3 linked regions of the Cricetulus griseus genome follow. Each later gene encodes a partner of the first gene's protein in a complex. Links are inferred from orthologs where the notes say so. Each region holds a gene or a part of one and is shown on either strand. Other genes may lie near its edges.

Region 1 (6,440 bases):
GAGCTGTTTGTGAAAATCCCTGCTTGAGACAGATTCAGTGTTCAGAGGGTGGGAACCTCAACCAGAAGTTTCTAACCGACCTCCAGGGAACCAGGGCATGGCTCTGCACTTTGAAATGAACCAAGCAGGCCAGTCTGGATTTCCTGCACATCCCAGTCTCAGACGATTGGCTCAGTTCAAGGACAGGAATGCCAGAGTCAAGGCGGCGTGGTGCATCTGGATTCCTTGGTGATTGACGCTAGGACCTGACCCTGGTCCTTGACAAACAGTGCCACTTGGGATCGAGGTTAGGGATGGCCCTCATGATGGACGGCCCGATCACTGTGATGGGGTTGTAGTTGTGCTTATGAATTCTGATGTGTGCATGCACAAAAGCAAGCCACTTCAAAGTGAGGGGCTGGCTTGGTGCCACCTCACAGACTTCTTCAGCTGCATGGAGATCACCACCACCACAAATAAATAAAGCTAACCATGTGGTCAGAGTTTCTGCACAGCCATCAAAAGGCCACAGCTGTGGGTCAGGCAACCGGACCCCATAAGGCCTCTGACTCCTGTGTACTTCAGCCTGCAAAAGCTTGTCAGACTCACAGGGCAGCCTTGAGGATGCAGCTCTGTTCAGGACACGGACGTTCTCTCCACATCACTTGTGGCTCCTACTCCGGGTTCTCCAGAGCCTCGCTGGCTCTGAGGGCCCTTTTCAGCTCCTGCAGGACCACGTCGCGGTGCTGTGCTGTGTACTGGTCGTAGCTCTTACTGTGCTGGGACTCATAGTGACGCTTCAGGTTGTACTCTTTCAGCACTGACACGTTTTTTTTGCATATTAAGCACGTGGGCATGTTCTTCACTTCCACAAAGAAATAGTCTCGCTCCCATTTTTCTCGAAACACGCGGCCCTCTCCTTCTTTCTTTCGTTTGGCCACTTTTGAAGGAGACATGGGTACAAGAAAGATTTCACTTTTCTCTGAATGCTACCACAGAACCACCACGGTGCCAGCCCCGTGACGGAGGCAGGGCTTTGGCCTCACCGTGGAAGAGCAAGAGAGAGTGGTGGGGACTGTGGCGAACCCAAGAGCATGAGCCCCACTGATGGGGCAAACCCAGCTACTACTGCCAGGCAGAAGGGTAGACCCAGGGTGTCAGTGTTTCCGACATGTTGAGGAGCAATTGTGCGTGTGTGTGAATTTCACTTAAGTTTTATAGCTAACTGGAAGGAAAAAAGTGACACATGCTAACACAGGGAAGGCCAAACAAAACTCATCTGTGGTGGCCCACGGGCCACTAGACTGAAGCCTCTCTTCTGGGATAGTGAGTGACCTGCACATTAACTAGCGTCCCAGACCCAGGCAGTGGTGGTCCAGGCACAGACCACACTCACAGTTAATATGCCTGTGTGACAAATATCTCACAACATCTCCAAGGAGACCACCTACAGACAAACCTGAGAACACCCTGCAAGACAGGGGCTTCCTCACTTCCCCACACCTCCAACTAGAACCTAAATTGCTACTGCTTCAAGCACAGCACACTGTCCCATGGGGACATCCTGACTGCCTGGTGTGGCATGTGTCACCGGAACAGTCCTTTGACCTTGCCTCTGGCCTGCCCTGCTCCTACAAACCAGCCTTTCTGACATCAGCCCCACTGGAGATCTCTGTGGTCCTGCGTCCCCAGGACAAGTCTCAAGCATTCCAGTCTGGCTCCTCCCTGTAATGCTCATGCTCCAGGAGCATCCACCTCCTGACCTTGCCTGTCCCTTTACTGTGGCTTTGGCTATCTGCACCTTAGTACCTCCTGGCTCCCAACTGCTGCTTCTCCTTCCAGGCTCCTCGGAACCCTGGCTGGGTCAGAGGCATTCTGGGCTCTGTAACCCCTTGAGTGCACATGAGCTGTACACTATCTGCCCACCTGCCTCTGAGTCTCCCAGAACCAGGCCTCACCATGCTGCCTCCAACTCCCCCCGTGGCCCAGCATCACCCAGCCGGGGCCTTGGGGAGTCTGCAAGGCGAGAGCAAAGACAGCCCTAGGGGCGTCAGTGACGGGAGCCGGGAATCGTTAAAAGGAACTTTATTGGGTGTTGGGTTCAGATGAGGTCCATGAGGATGTCGTCCTCCATGACGCTGGGCTGCAGGCCCGGCTGGGGGACCGGGCCCCGGGGACCCCCGCTCAGCAGCATCTGACCTGGGGGGCAGTGGGAAGGGACTGCATCTCCCAGTGGTCCCTGGGACCATTGAGGACCCTGGACCTCTCATCCCCTCTTCTGGGAACCCAAGGCAGTCAGGTTTCTAGGAAGCTCCAGGGACCACCAGAGCCAGGGATCCTTCTAAGCCCAATTAGATGCAGACATTTTCCTTTGACCCTTTGGGAGCCCTTCCCCCGACAGCATCACTGACCCTAAGGTATCTTCCAGCATCCCAGGGCAGCATATAAGGATTATGGAAAGCTCTCACTCACTGAGGCATTGTTCCCATGGCTAAACTTCCCAATGGCCCTCTAAGCCCCCTAGAGCTATGGGGAGGCCCTTTGGTAATGGGGTCCTTGCCAGTGGCTGCAAGGACTCCCAGTCTAGACCTCTACCCTCCCCTAGAACACCCTTACCTGGCAGTGGAGCCCGCTGGGGAAGCTGTGTGGGCCAAGACTGGGCAGGTGGAGGGTGGAGGAGTTGTGGCCCCAGCTGGGGCTGCCCCAGGCTCTGATGTGGTGGAGGCAGCAGTGCAGGGGCCCCTGGAGGCTGCAGGTGGTGGAGGGAGGCCTGGGGTGGGGGTACCCCAGTCTGGGGCTGGGGAAGACAAAGAATGGCTCAGAGGGCCCAGTCTGTGCTCCAGAAAGGCCCTGCTGGTACAGCCCACCCCTTCCTCCCAGAGATACTGGGTAAGAACCTGCAATTCCCTGTTGCTCTATTCCCATGCCTCACCGGTGGTGGGTTAAGGAGGAGGCTCCGCAACTGGGGGTTGGCCCCAGGGTTCTGGGGCCGAAGGATAGGTCCAGAAGGTGGTGGGCCGGGGGCTGTTCCTGGAGGACCCTGGGGTGCTCCTGTGGGGGCCTGGGTAGTACCTTGTGGCTGGGGCTGCCCTGTAGCCACAGAGGCCCCCACAGCACCCTGAGGCTGGGGCTGTGGTGCACGGAGCTGGAGCTGGAGAACAGACAGCGTGAGCAAGGACAAGCAGTAGGGAACTGCCCTAGCTCCACCCAACCTCCATCCCCAATCCCACCAGTCCCCACCCAAGTCCTCACTAGGTTCTGCGGGGGCCTCGCTTGGTCCTCCAGAATGGGGCCCAGGCCTGGAAGTGCCTGCTGTGCCCCCATCTGCACGGGGACAGAGAGGACAGATCAGTGGTGAGGGAAGGCTGTCTGAACCTGTTGGAGGACCTGGTGTGTAGGAGGAAGGTGCCTTTCTTTGGGGACATACCATCTAGTAGGTGCATCACACCCTGCCTGACCAATAAGGAAGGCCTGTATCAGGGACTGCCGTGGAAACTGAGAAGGGACTAAAGCTGCTCTGCTAGGACACAAGGGGCACATTGGACTCAGACAGGCGGCTTATGGCTGACTGGGCTCTGGGGAGCTATGAGAGGACACTGGCTTGCCACTACCACTCACCCCTCGCTGCTGCTCCAGCTTCTGCTGCTGGACCTGCTTGTGGTTGGTGATGACCTGGCGGATGCCATTGACAAAGCCACTCTGGTCGTAGGGGATGAGGCCCATGAAGATCTTTTTCTTAGATGAGTACAGGAGCATGAGCACACGCACCTCGCATGGGGCTGTATGCGGGAAGTGCACGCAGCCCGCCTGTGGACAGAGACTCTTCAGAAGCAGCCTACCCGAGAGGCATGGGCTAGCCTACCTCAGCCTATAAAATTCTACAAGCCTTATAGGCAAGAGGTAGGGAGGTCTCACTGTACAAGGCCAGGGAGGCCAGGTTGGCGCAGCAGCTGCCCTGGAAACAAAAAATTGTGAGTGACAGGCACTCAAAGGGCACAGCAAGACCAAAGTCCCTGCTGACCACCGAGGAGACAGCAGGTCACACCAGAAGCCCATGGTGACCCTGACTGAGTGGCTCTACCTCATGTCTCCCACTATATAGCACTGGGTTATCTCATCAAATCACACTGGACAGGGCTCCACTGGGGAGGGTGGCAGGAAGTCAGGGTCAGACCCTTGAAGGTGGCTCTATCTCTGCCAGGGCCTCCAGCATGGACCAGAGAATGGCAACATCACAAGGATGCCATTTTGGGATTCAGAGTCTCCATGGGCTCTCAGGGAACTAACTGGCTTTGGCTACCTGGGTTTACTTCTCAGGACTTGCAGCTAGTGCATCAACACACCCCTCTCCTTAACCCAGTCCAGCACAGAACAGGCAGTGCCACCCAGGCCAGATACTGGAGTGTCCTCCCCTACAGGGGTGCAGCCTAGGAACCCAGCCAGGCCCAGATAAAAGGAGGCCTGGTCAGAAGTTGTGAACATTTCTCGCTTCCTGAAGTCATTGCCTCTTCCAAATGTTTAAAGGGACTCAAAAGCTAAGGTAACCATCTTGAGCCTGTGAGAGGCCTAGGCATTGAGGTCACTGAGCTCTCCTTCTGTATCCTGGCCTGCAGCAAAAACAGGCCATTTGTTGGAACATTCCCTCAGAATTCAGTGTTTTCACTGAGGAGGACAGCAGATGAGCCACACCACAGAGGGTTCTTGGCCCAGCTGACCTTCCTGACAACAGCCCCAGCAGACCCACAGACACGAGAGAGGTACAGCAGGCAACAGTGTCAGCGGAGGTAAAGAGGGCTGAGAGGATGATGATCAACAATCTCTGCCTGGGGAAAACTCTGGGCATAGAAGTCACTGTCGCTAATCCCATGCACACACAGGCACTTGGGTCTTCCCTAAACACAAGTTCCAACCCACTAGCCCCCAGGAAGGTGAGCTGACCTGAAGGTTATATGAGGCATGAGGGCAGGCCCTATGCAACAAAGTGGAGATACAGGAAAGAACAGGGCCAGAGAAGCCAGGCTGGACTGCACCGCACATAGCTGCAAAACAGCCCTCAGGAGCCCGAGGCAGGAGGACACCCAGGTGGAGGTCTTACTACACAGCAAGACTTATCTCAAACCATCAACAAATGCAGGCCCACGGGACAGGGACACAGCAGATGCTAGGACATGTGGCCCTAACTGCAGCACCACAAACGACACCCAAGGAAAGACAGCGACTCCTAGATGCAGGACTGTGGGCAGAGATGGGGAAGGAAGTCAGTGCCCGCCACTCACGAAGCCATTGCCCATGATGCGGTAGAGGCCTTTGAGGGACTCCAGGTCCTTGTTGGTGAAGTGAAACTGGACCATTCTTGAGTTCCGGAACAGAGGGCCCAGGGTAGTCTGGGAAAACGCAGGCATCATTCGGGGCAACACAAGGTAGGGTAGTCTGGGAAAACGCAGGCATCATTCGGGGCAACACAAGGTAGGGTAGTCTGGGAAAACGCAGGCATCATTCGGGGCAACACAAGGTAGGGTAGTCTGGGAAAACGCAGGCATCATTCGGGGCAACACAAGGTAGGGTAGTCTGGGAAAACGCAGGCATCATTCGGGGCAACACAAGGTAGGGGAGATTATGTGGGAACGGGGGACAAGGGCCAGGCAGCTCCTGCCTGGCAGGACTCACCAGCAGCTGCTGAGGGATGAGCTGCATGATCAGTTTCTGGGGCCACTGCTCTGTTTTCCTGTGGGACAGAGAGAGGAGAATCAGGAGGGGCCAGGCTAAACCTACCCCACCCCTGACAAATACCTACAGGTTTTCTCCATGGTTCACATAGACCTGGCAAGGCAGAGACCTCGTCAGCTTGGTGTTAGCATCCACAGATGCAGGCTTTGGTTTCTGGAAGAGGAAGGGTGAATTAGCCAGGGCCTCCTGACTCAACCTCCACCAGCGCCGGCAGCCTCACGTCTCTCCTACCTTCCCAGCAACCTCACACTCATGCTCCCAGAGTCCTCAAACACTGGGCCTCAAAATCTTATAATCACTGTCCTCCAGAAGCCATAAGACCTGGGGCCTGCCTCCCAAGTGCTAGAATTAAAGGTGTGCACCACTATGCCTTAATTTCTCTCTCTCTCTCTCTCTCTCTCTCTCTCTCTCTCTCTCTCTCTCTCTCTTGGTTTTTCCAAACAGGATTTCTCCGTGTAACAGCACTTGCTGTCCTGGAACTTGTTCTGTAGACCAGGCTGGCCTTGAACTCACAGACATCCACCTGCCTCTGCCCCTGCCTCCCAAGTACTGAGAATAAAGGTGTGCACCACTACTGCCTGACTCAACATAATTTTTTCTCCCCAACCCCAGAATATGAAAATTTATAACTGTGTTTGCACTGTCAAAATTTATGATCTTGTTCTTTCCTTCTTGCCTTTGTACAGGGTCAAAAGGGACACGATGACTACTTTAACAATCTTAGAGTGGACTCT
Region 2 (5,061 bases), on another chromosome or scaffold:
AAATGGCCCTTTAGTGGGAGAGGGACCATCCTGCACCAAACCTCATAAATCCTTAATGGTACTCAGTGTGATTCTGGGTTGGCTGTGGTCCTGAAACTCTGAAAGAAATGTTTTAGGACTTGACCCCATACAGCTGCTGTATAGGCAGCTGTAGGTAAGGTGACCTATCTCAAGAGTGAAAAACAAAACTGGAAACTTAAATTACCGATTTTGGGGAGGAGAGAAAACAACACGTTACTTTCTGTCGGAGAAGAAACCCTGGCAGGTAACTGTCAGGTGTGTGTGTGGGGGGGCAACCTTAGGCCTGCCTGCAGATGCTAGCCCAGGGCTGGGGCTAGATAACATATTGGTCTGCACCTCTGGGCCATGTAATGTCAGAAAGTTATTGGTGGTCAAGGAAGGTGTCATCAGCTACAGGGCCTGAAGGAGGGGGCATCCCTGGGTGGGTGACCAAGGTGATATGGTTGGCCCCAAAAGAATGAAAGATAGGTAGAGAGATCCTGCCTGCTGCCACAGAAGCAAGCTAATAGGATGCCACCAAGGCTGTGGGCTCCAGGGACTTCCCCATGGAGGAATCCAGGAAAGGCCAAGTACAAGTTCAAATGAGAAATGATTCCAAAACTGGTTTGTGCAAATGTTTTTTTTTTTTATTTCCACATTTATATCACAAGGTATCCACTTACTGGACCAAATAGCAAAGTTGCTCCCTTCTGCGAGGACGCAGAAGTCTAGGTACTGTACATTCACTAAGGCTCCTTGTTTTTGCAAATTGCGTTTATGACAACCATAAGGCAAACGAATCTAAAGGAATGGTTATGAGTGTTTCCAGCTAACAGACGGCTCTCCTCGCCCAGCAGGGCAACTCACGCCAGTAGCACCCTCGGGAACTTTGTGAGGTTGAGGGCTCTAGAAAGATGGCATTTCCTAGAGATGTAGACAGGAAGAGATAGAAAGGAAAAGTCATTTGGCTGGTGGTCAGGTGGAAAAGAGGATGAAATAAACAAGAAAACTGAAGTTTTTGCAGCATTTCTTTAAGAACAGGGGTTGAACTGAAACCATATACAAATGGGTGGACACCTGTGCAAGTGGGTGAAGCTGGCTCACCCGCCCAATGCCAGGGTTCACCATAGCAGAGAAGCTTCTAGCGCATAACACGAGGGAAAAGAAAACACTGGCTTGGCCGAGGCCAGAGACTGGCCAGAGCCAAAGAGTAGGAGATTCAGAGATGAGATGTGCATCTGTTGCTGTTAAGGTAACCTCTCCCGCAGGTTTCCTGTGCCTGCCTGCCACTGAGGTCCCCACCTTCGGTGCTAGAGGGGCTCTGCACCTCTTCTGGGGTGGGGGACCTAACGCTTTATATAGCTGGCTTGCTATAGAGTTCTGGACTCCCTCTGCCATCTGCCCTCTGAGCAGCCCTTCCTTTGCAATCGTTAGTAAACTGGTAGCAGCATTTCACAAAAGGAGGGTGGAGGGTGAGCCTCATGCTCGCCCTCCTGGCTGGCCAGCCTACCCCCTGCAAGGTGGGAATGCACTTGATGGCCAGGCCAGGTGCTCAGTCCAAGCAGACATAAGGCAGAATGTTCAAGCGCCCATCATCGCCATGCGGGTCGAGCGATATGCATTGCGTCCAGTCATACCAATTACCCTGTGTGTCCTCACACCCGTTCACCCCTGGCCACTTCTGGGCCTGGATTCTGTCCAGATCGTCCTGTGTGATCTCCCGAGTGAGCCCCGGGAGGTCAGTGGGCGTGGGCAGCGGCAGCAGCACATGGGGCTGCCGGGCCCCTCGCCGACTGCTCTCCTCCTGCTTCAGATACTCGGCCATAAAGTGGTGCGCGCCTGGGGTCTGCGCGCCAGAAGAGGACAGCAAGCTGCTCTGGCGGCTCAGGTAGGACTGGATGATCTCATTGCGTGACAGCTCCTTCCAGTTCGTCTGCTCAAAAGGACTCTGGAGGCTGGCCTTGGCCTCCTGCTGGTCCTGCTCTGTCCTAGGTGGCTGCTCTGTGGGTACGGGGCTGTCGGCCCGCACGGGTTCTTTCTGGGTCAGAGGTTTGATCTGTCTTGTCATGGGGTCAAAGGTGAGCTTCCGCTCTTTTAACCGCACAGGCTTCACGCCTGCCTCAGCCACCTGCCCGTCCAAGTTCACCGTGTAGTCTCGAGGTCGGTACCTCTTTTTCTTTTTGCTGTCTGAGCCACCTGAAGAGGCAGCATCGCTGTCCACCTTGGAGGAATCTGGCGACAACCCGACCCTGCAGGCTGGCCCTGTTAGCCGTGGGTGACCCTCCGGCTGCTCTGGCCAGTGCACAGGGCTCTCAGCACTAGACAGCAGCTCCATCCGCCGCACAGGGGGTGTGGACGGCTGGGCTAGCGGGAGTGGGGATGGCACCTGTGTGGTGTCCAGTGGCTGGGGGCGTGGGGAGGGGCTGGACACAGAGCCCTTCGCTATGTATGAGCTCCGCTGCCGGGCAAAGGAGCCTTCATGCCGTGAGTTCCGGGGGCTGAAGGAGCAGCGAGAGGTCCCCCTGGGATGGGGAGGGCCTGGCGGCTCATCTGCTCTGTCCAGCTGTGCAGCCTTTGTCTGCAGGCAGGGCACGGGGGGCTTGCCCAGGCCAGGGGAGCTGGGGCGGGGCCGCACGGCGTTCACGGGGATCTTGGTACTGTGCTTCTCATTGTCGCTGGGTTCCAGGCGGCTGCTATCAGGGCCCAAGTGCCCACTACCATCCAGGGGGCTAGGTAAGCTCTCTGGGCTCCCACTGATCCCATTAGTGGGGAGAGGGGATGCATTGGGGACTAGGGGGTCAGGGGTGGCTTTGGGAACTTTGTGGGGTGGCCCCGGGTGGCCCAGGTCACGCTGATCCCCTCTACGCTTACGGCTGCCCAGCCTGTCTAGCCGCTCCCCAGGAAGCCTCTGGATGTCATTGCGATTCTTCAGGTCATGGATGCTCTTGGGTGTGCTGGCTACTCCCACCTCTGACCGGCAGTTGTGTGCGCCCCCATTGGCAGAGCCGGCAGCTCCCGCCAGTGCCCGTAGGGCCACCTCATTCTGGTGCACTGGCTCGATGAGCTTCTGCCAGCTCCGCAGAAGCCTCTTGGCCCTCTTGGCTAGCTCCTCGTTCTTGGTTTTCTTGCGGACGTCATTGATGAGCTTCCCCAGTCGTGTCTCCTACAAGCAAGAGAATGACACACTTATACAATGCAGGACGAGGTAGCTGAGCCAGTAAGCTCACCCTTTCTGGCTTTACCTCTTTCCCCCAGCCCCCAAACTGCCAGCTTATGGGATGCATCTTGGAGGTGTCCAATACTATGTGGCAGCATGAATTCTTAGGTTTGGGACCCAGAGGCTTCCTCAAAAGCAGGTCCACTGGTTCCTGGAACCTGGAGTCTGTGCCATCAAGGCCACACAGCTGCTCCACCAGGGTGCCTGGTTGAACACATTTCACAGCCTAAGGCCTGGTCTCCAAAGGACAGGGACACTAACCAATTGTCTAAAGCTCAGCACAGGTCGTGTTCCAAATGCTATGAGGTGTGCAGGGTATGGGAAGGAACCCAACTGTGAGAGTAGACGCCTTCACTCTTGGAAAGTCCTTGCGAAGACCAATGTCCTGGACACACTGCCCACTGGGTCCCCTGAAGGACTACAAAAGCCTAAGCCACAAGTAGAAGGTGGCTAGGGGCTACCCTCACCTCTCATTCTGCCCAAAGTTGAGCTCTTACCTCTAGTGCCTCTTTGGTGATGGGGTATCTCTCCAGACTGGAGATCACTTCCAATACTGCAACCATGTTCCTGATCTGAAGAACAAGAACCAGGTTATCAGCTTAGGGCTCCGACTGAAAGCCTAGCAACCCAGGGCCTTTCAAGTTGCCAGCACTGGACACCACCAAACCCCCACCATCACCATCTCCCAAGGGTTTACCATTGCCCATATGCACACACTCAGCCACCCACTGCTATCGGGTGTCATGAAAAGAGACCTGCCCCTGGTCTGACATCTTTACTGGAAAGTCCCTGAAGCAGGGGCTGGAGAAGTTACCATATATACCAAACACACAAAGCCTCAGAGGAAAGCAAGAGGGGACAATAAACCAGTATGTCACAGACTAAGATGTATGTCACATGGCCAGAATGAGGGTCTCTGGAGCACCACACCTGAACAGCAATGCAGCCCCAAGAACGTGAAAGCAGAGACTCTGAGAGGCTCTGTGCAGAACGGGCAAGGTCAGCACTAGCACTGAGCTTCACGGCTATGTCAACAGGGAGGCTAACAATCCCCCAAGTTCATGTTTGGAATCCCACTCTGAGCCAGCCCTTCCATCCATCACTGATTTGTTTAATCACCACAGGCTCACAGGGCAGGTGCCATGACTATCATTTCAGAGATGGCAGGGTAGGACCAAAAGGCTGATGTGACTGGACATGCCAGCAGCACAGCCACACTGGCAAACAGCAGGCAGCACAGCAATGGGGGAAAGGAGATGAAGAGGAGCCTCCTGAGTAAGAGCGGACAAACAGCCTTAGTGTACCCAGGGAGACCGCATTCCAGAAAGCCGACAGCAGCAAGCACAGCAAAGCCCCACACATGGAGCTTCCTCAAGGGGCTAAGGAGATGGTCAGCTAAGGACCAGAACCCATGTACCTGCCAGGTGGCAGGGCAGCCCATCTGTAATTCCAGCTCTGAAAGGGAAAGGTAGGGTACCTAGAGCCAACTAGATAGTAAGAGTAGCTGTGTTGGTGAGCTCCAGGTGTCTCAGTGAGCAGGAGGAGGAATGAGTAACAATTCCCATGATTCCCGGCGTCAGCCTCCTTTTGCCTGTGTGCACATACACTGCACACACATGCATGAAAATTACCTCAGTGAGCCCCAGACCTAAATGGCAAGCGAAAATCAAGCTCCAAAAAGTGCTCAGGAGAGGATCTGCAACGATGGGGCTCCTGAGGAGTCCAGAGGACCAACTGTTAAAGAAAACTAATGACAAACGGAACCTATGGAAATGAAAAGCTTCTGTGTGTTTAGACACTTATCGGGACACACACAAAGCTACCTGGTGGTGATCCACCTGCAG
Region 3 (4,131 bases), on another chromosome or scaffold:
TGTATGGCTGTGTGGGGAAATGTGGTACATGGCTGACCAGCCAAATCTCAGCAGCATATCTCACAAGAAAATAAGAATATTTGGTAAACATTTAGCAGTTTCTGTTACTAAACGTTTTTTCATTGCAAACTTCCAGATTTAACACCAGACGTCGGCTTTAAAGGAATAATGCAGAGGCTAGAGAGATGACTCAGTGGCTCACATTCTGCTCTTTGTATAGTACCAGTTTGGTTCTCAGCATCCACAGAAATGGCTTTCAACCACCTTCACTCCAAAAAAAGCCAACACCCTTTTAGCCTCTGCAGGAAATGCACTCACACTCACATAGACAGCTAACACAGGAAATATAGTTAGCACATAAGATATTTTAATGTCTAAAATGAACATAAACTTAGTGACCGAAGACTGATTACCTGACTGGGGGGAAGGGGAAGCCCCTAGCAGATATTTTATGGAAGATAAGGAAGAAGCGGCTGTGATACTGAGTTTGTAGAACAGTCATCAGGAAAATAGTTCCTGTATTGTTTTGGAATAAATCTAAACATTTTGTAATTTCACATGTACAGTTTGATGCCCTTTATTAGTCTTAAAGGAAATAACTCCCCCGTAAGAATGACAGTTCAATATTTCTTAAAATTTTTATTCCACTTCCAAAAATAGGACTATCCCATTCAATAGCAAACATTCTGCTTTTTTATGATCATTACTCAAATATACTTCCTTGCCTATCCTTACTGTTAAATTATCACCTACAGCATTTCAATTGAGAAAAGTCCCTTTATATTTTTAGTTATACCTCTTAAGACTGTCCAAGAGAAAATAAACTAATATATGATGCTATTCACTAAAAGAAAAAATACTCATGGTCTTTCATTCATTTCATCAACTAGGACACATAAGGCAGCATCTTTCTCTATAATCTGGTCCCTCCTGTGACCTGAATTTTCTCTTTGTTGTTCATTTTGTCCAGTACAATTGCTGTTATCATCAGTATCCATTGGCTCAGTTTTAACTCTCATCCCTGCTTCTGAATGGGGTAAATCATCTGGCAAAGAAGCAAGGCAATTTTGGATCATTTCAATTACTCGTTCCAGGTGTTTCTGAAACCTCTCAGCTGTTTCAAGACGTTGCCGTTTCTGGACCTCCATCATTACTCTCAAGGTCTCTCTTGCTTGGTGGGGTCGATACTCATTTATAAGATGATGCACATGTACGAAAAGCAGCTTAAGATCTTCTAGCTTCTCTTCTCGTTTTATACTCCCAGGGCTCCTTATTAAGATATCTAAAAGGTCCAAGAAATTAATCAGTATAGACATATTGAGTTTTCTCAGTTCTTTCTTGTGATCAAATTGCATAGGATGAAGCCGTTCAATGCCCTGACTTTCCAAAGGGCGAATGATAAGATCATCACATTGGAACTGGTTGCCGAACATCATGTAACTGTCTTTAATTGGAGGGGGAGGCTTGGGAGCTAAGCCTTCCTGAATATTTTCATCTGTATATTCCTTGATGTACTGCATTGGAGGTGGTGGGAGTGCACTCACTTGCTGTGGTTCACCCATTGTCGACAATCAAGAACCTAAAGAAACAGAACACAGATTCAGAGCAGAACCAGACAACACTACCCCCAACCACCATCAGTGACTTCAGAGTATGTTTTTCCTTCTTCTGACAGGACAGGGTCCAAGACAAGATGATCTCAGATTTAAAACTAACATTTACAAAAAGGGAATGGCCATCAATTATTTTCTAATTAAAGATTATGTTGTTAACACCCCTATTGTTTTCCTTTATCTCCTTGGTGCTTTCCAGAGCAGTTAAATAAACAAGTTACTCTTTTTCATATATAAATAAAATCTGAGGGGATTGGAAGCTAGGGCAGCCACACATCAGCTGGGTGTCTGCTGAGGCAAAAGAAAGATAACAGCCTACGGATGGATGTGCAGGGTGTCTTGTTTTTGCTTTGTGCCTAGGATCTTCTGTTGCCACCCCCTCCCTGCCCATCTGGGGGAAGAGGGTCTGTGCAGCAGACATCTAGAAAGGCACACCATTCCAGCAGAAGGCAGGTACCCATAATTACAGTAATGGCATTGAAAAAAATAAAAACAAACAAAAAACCTTTCTGAGCACAAAAGACACTAGCACTTGTTAATTTCTCAAAGATAAACCCATACAAAGCATCCTGAAAATAAAGGGGTGTGGTGGGAGGAAGAGGCTCTTATGACATCTGTCACTGTATCATGAAGCTTCACTGCTGAGGAAAAAAATTACCAACCAATGACCAGGGCAGCCTGGACAACATCAACTTCAATGTTCAGAAGTACACTGTGAATTCAGACCATATTATCTTTAAGCTTCCTGCTGGTAAGTATGCCTTGAAAATTGAGAACTTGTTGGCCAGTCAAGACACAAGGTGTGCTAATTTCACCCTAAAGGAACAGGTGACCCTGGCAAAGGAAAAGAAAAATAAAGCAAAGCTATGGCTTCGTGCAATGAAGATAACTGTGATGAGAGCCATGAAACAATCTCTAGCATCTAAATATACACCCAAGTCGAGGTATGCAGACTCTATGAAGGAAATTCTGAGAACATGAAGCAGTGTCACTTGGAAATCTTACAATTATTTGAATCCCTTAAAGTCCCTGTCACCTGCTAAAGGACACTTTTGTCTGCCAGACTTCATGTGACTATGAAGTAAGGACACCTGTTCTGCTTGGTGAGGAAAGAGGGACGCTAGGGTTAAGGACTCATGTGTTCTATGTAAGCTGACAAATGGAAGCATAGGAAGTGGGAAGCAGCCAGTCAAGTCCACTAAAGGTTTGGCAGATAACTTTACTTACTGTTCTTTTTAAACATTTTTTTTTGTTGTTATTTTGAAAAAGGACCTCAACTGTCATAGATGTGGTGGTTCACACTATAGAAGCCAAGACAGCTATGAGTTCAAGGCCAGTTTGGGCTACACATTGATTTTTGAGTCAGCCTGTGCTAAAAATACCTTTAAAAACTATTTTTAAAGTATATGAAGTTGGGAGTGAGATATGGTGATGGTCTGCATGGTATTAGAGGGGAAGGAGAGGGCATGATCAAAACACATTGTGTATAAAATTCTCAAAGAACAAAATACATATTCTAAAAACTAAGAGAAAAGGGTCCATGTCTGGGATGATTTTGTATGGCACATGATATATTATTTGTCATGTCTGATTTTTGTTTTTGTTTTTTTGTTTTTTGGGTTTTTTTTGGGGGGGTGGATAGGCCTATGTTGGAACCCACACTGGAAAAAAGAACACTTATACACACAAATATCACGTGCCTTTTTACTACTCTTTCCCACAGTGAAACTACCTATGGTGTTTATCAATCTCATATCACAATCACTTTTGCTTTCTATTATGTACTGGTTTCCAAAACCAAACACTTAAAGACTCTAAACATTTTGACAAAAACAACAAAAAAAGCATTGTTAAATTTCAAACTTCTATTATTATCCAGGCTTTGTGAAGGAAGCCCCATCTTGAGAGGGCCGGGCGTTGGTGGCAGACGCCTTTAATCCCAGCACTCGGGAGGCAAAGGCAGGCGGATCTCTGTGAGTTCAAGGCCAGCCTGGTCTCCAGAGCGAGTGCCAGGATAGGCTCCAAAGCTACACAGAGAAACCCTGTCCCGAAAAACCAAAGAGTACGGTCTTATTAACACATTAGCATTTTATATATTTCCAAATAATAAAAAAAACTGCAACACACATGGTCAAAATAACCTCTCCTATTCCAATTTGAATTATATAGTGTATTATCCATTGATAAGTGTACATCCAGTGAGGAGACTCCTGAGTGCTTTTTCACACTTGATCTGAGTTTCAAGACGCACCATCCATCTACCAACATCAACTGGGGCAAGTAACATACCGGTTCAGTACCAGTTCCTTGGAATATGTTAAATCTGAGGGCAGCCACTTCAAAGTCTTCAGCTTTCCAACTGTTTGGGCACCTCACCCACCCACCCACCCACCCTGACACCTTTTCCCCTAAGTACTTCAGTATATACCTAAAACACGAATGTTCTCCTGCAACCACAGCCTAATTTCACCCACTGAGGGCTTTTGAAATTGAGGTTCTGTGCTTCCCTTCCCCACGC

The links.
Region 2: Med25 (region 1) and Med26 share a complex: the UniProt entries of both Homo sapiens proteins name them as parts of the mediator complex. The link is inferred for Cricetulus griseus from reciprocal best matches to the Homo sapiens genes MED25 and MED26.
Region 3: Med25 (region 1) and Med7 share a complex: the UniProt entries of both Homo sapiens proteins name them as parts of the mediator complex. The link is inferred for Cricetulus griseus from reciprocal best matches to the Homo sapiens genes MED25 and MED7.

The regions. Positions count from the first base shown.
Region 1 is NC_048599.1:153,713,853-153,720,292, forward strand, and holds part of Med25 (mediator of RNA polymerase II transcription subunit 25), read right to left. Parts: exon of another isoform or gene 6,215-6,440; intron 5,860-6,214; coding exon 5,774-5,859; intron 5,705-5,773; coding exon 5,647-5,704; intron 5,364-5,646; coding exon 5,256-5,363; intron 3,787-5,255; coding exon 3,598-3,786; intron 3,304-3,597; coding exon 3,232-3,303; intron 3,131-3,231; coding exon 2,912-3,130; intron 2,777-2,911; coding exon 2,596-2,776; intron 2,179-2,595; coding exon of another isoform or gene 2,081-2,178; exon of another isoform or gene 2,049-2,080; intron 920-2,048; coding exon 654-919; 3' UTR 1-653. UniProt on the Homo sapiens protein: Component of the Mediator complex, a coactivator involved in the regulated transcription of nearly all RNA polymerase II-dependent genes.
Region 2 is NW_023276806.1:247,247,084-247,252,144, forward strand, and holds the end of Med26 (mediator of RNA polymerase II transcription subunit 26), read right to left. Parts: intron 3,790-5,061; coding exon 3,715-3,789; intron 3,164-3,714; coding exon 1,553-3,163; 3' UTR 623-1,552; downstream 1-622. UniProt on the Homo sapiens protein: Component of the Mediator complex, a coactivator involved in the regulated transcription of nearly all RNA polymerase II-dependent genes.
Region 3 is NC_048600.1:60,990,827-60,994,957, reverse strand, and holds the end of Med7 (mediator of RNA polymerase II transcription subunit 7), read right to left. Parts: intron 2,448-4,131; exon of another isoform or gene 2,276-2,447; intron 1,580-2,275; 5' UTR 1,563-1,579; coding exon 861-1,562; 3' UTR 623-860; downstream 1-622. UniProt on the Homo sapiens protein: Component of the Mediator complex, a coactivator involved in the regulated transcription of nearly all RNA polymerase II-dependent genes.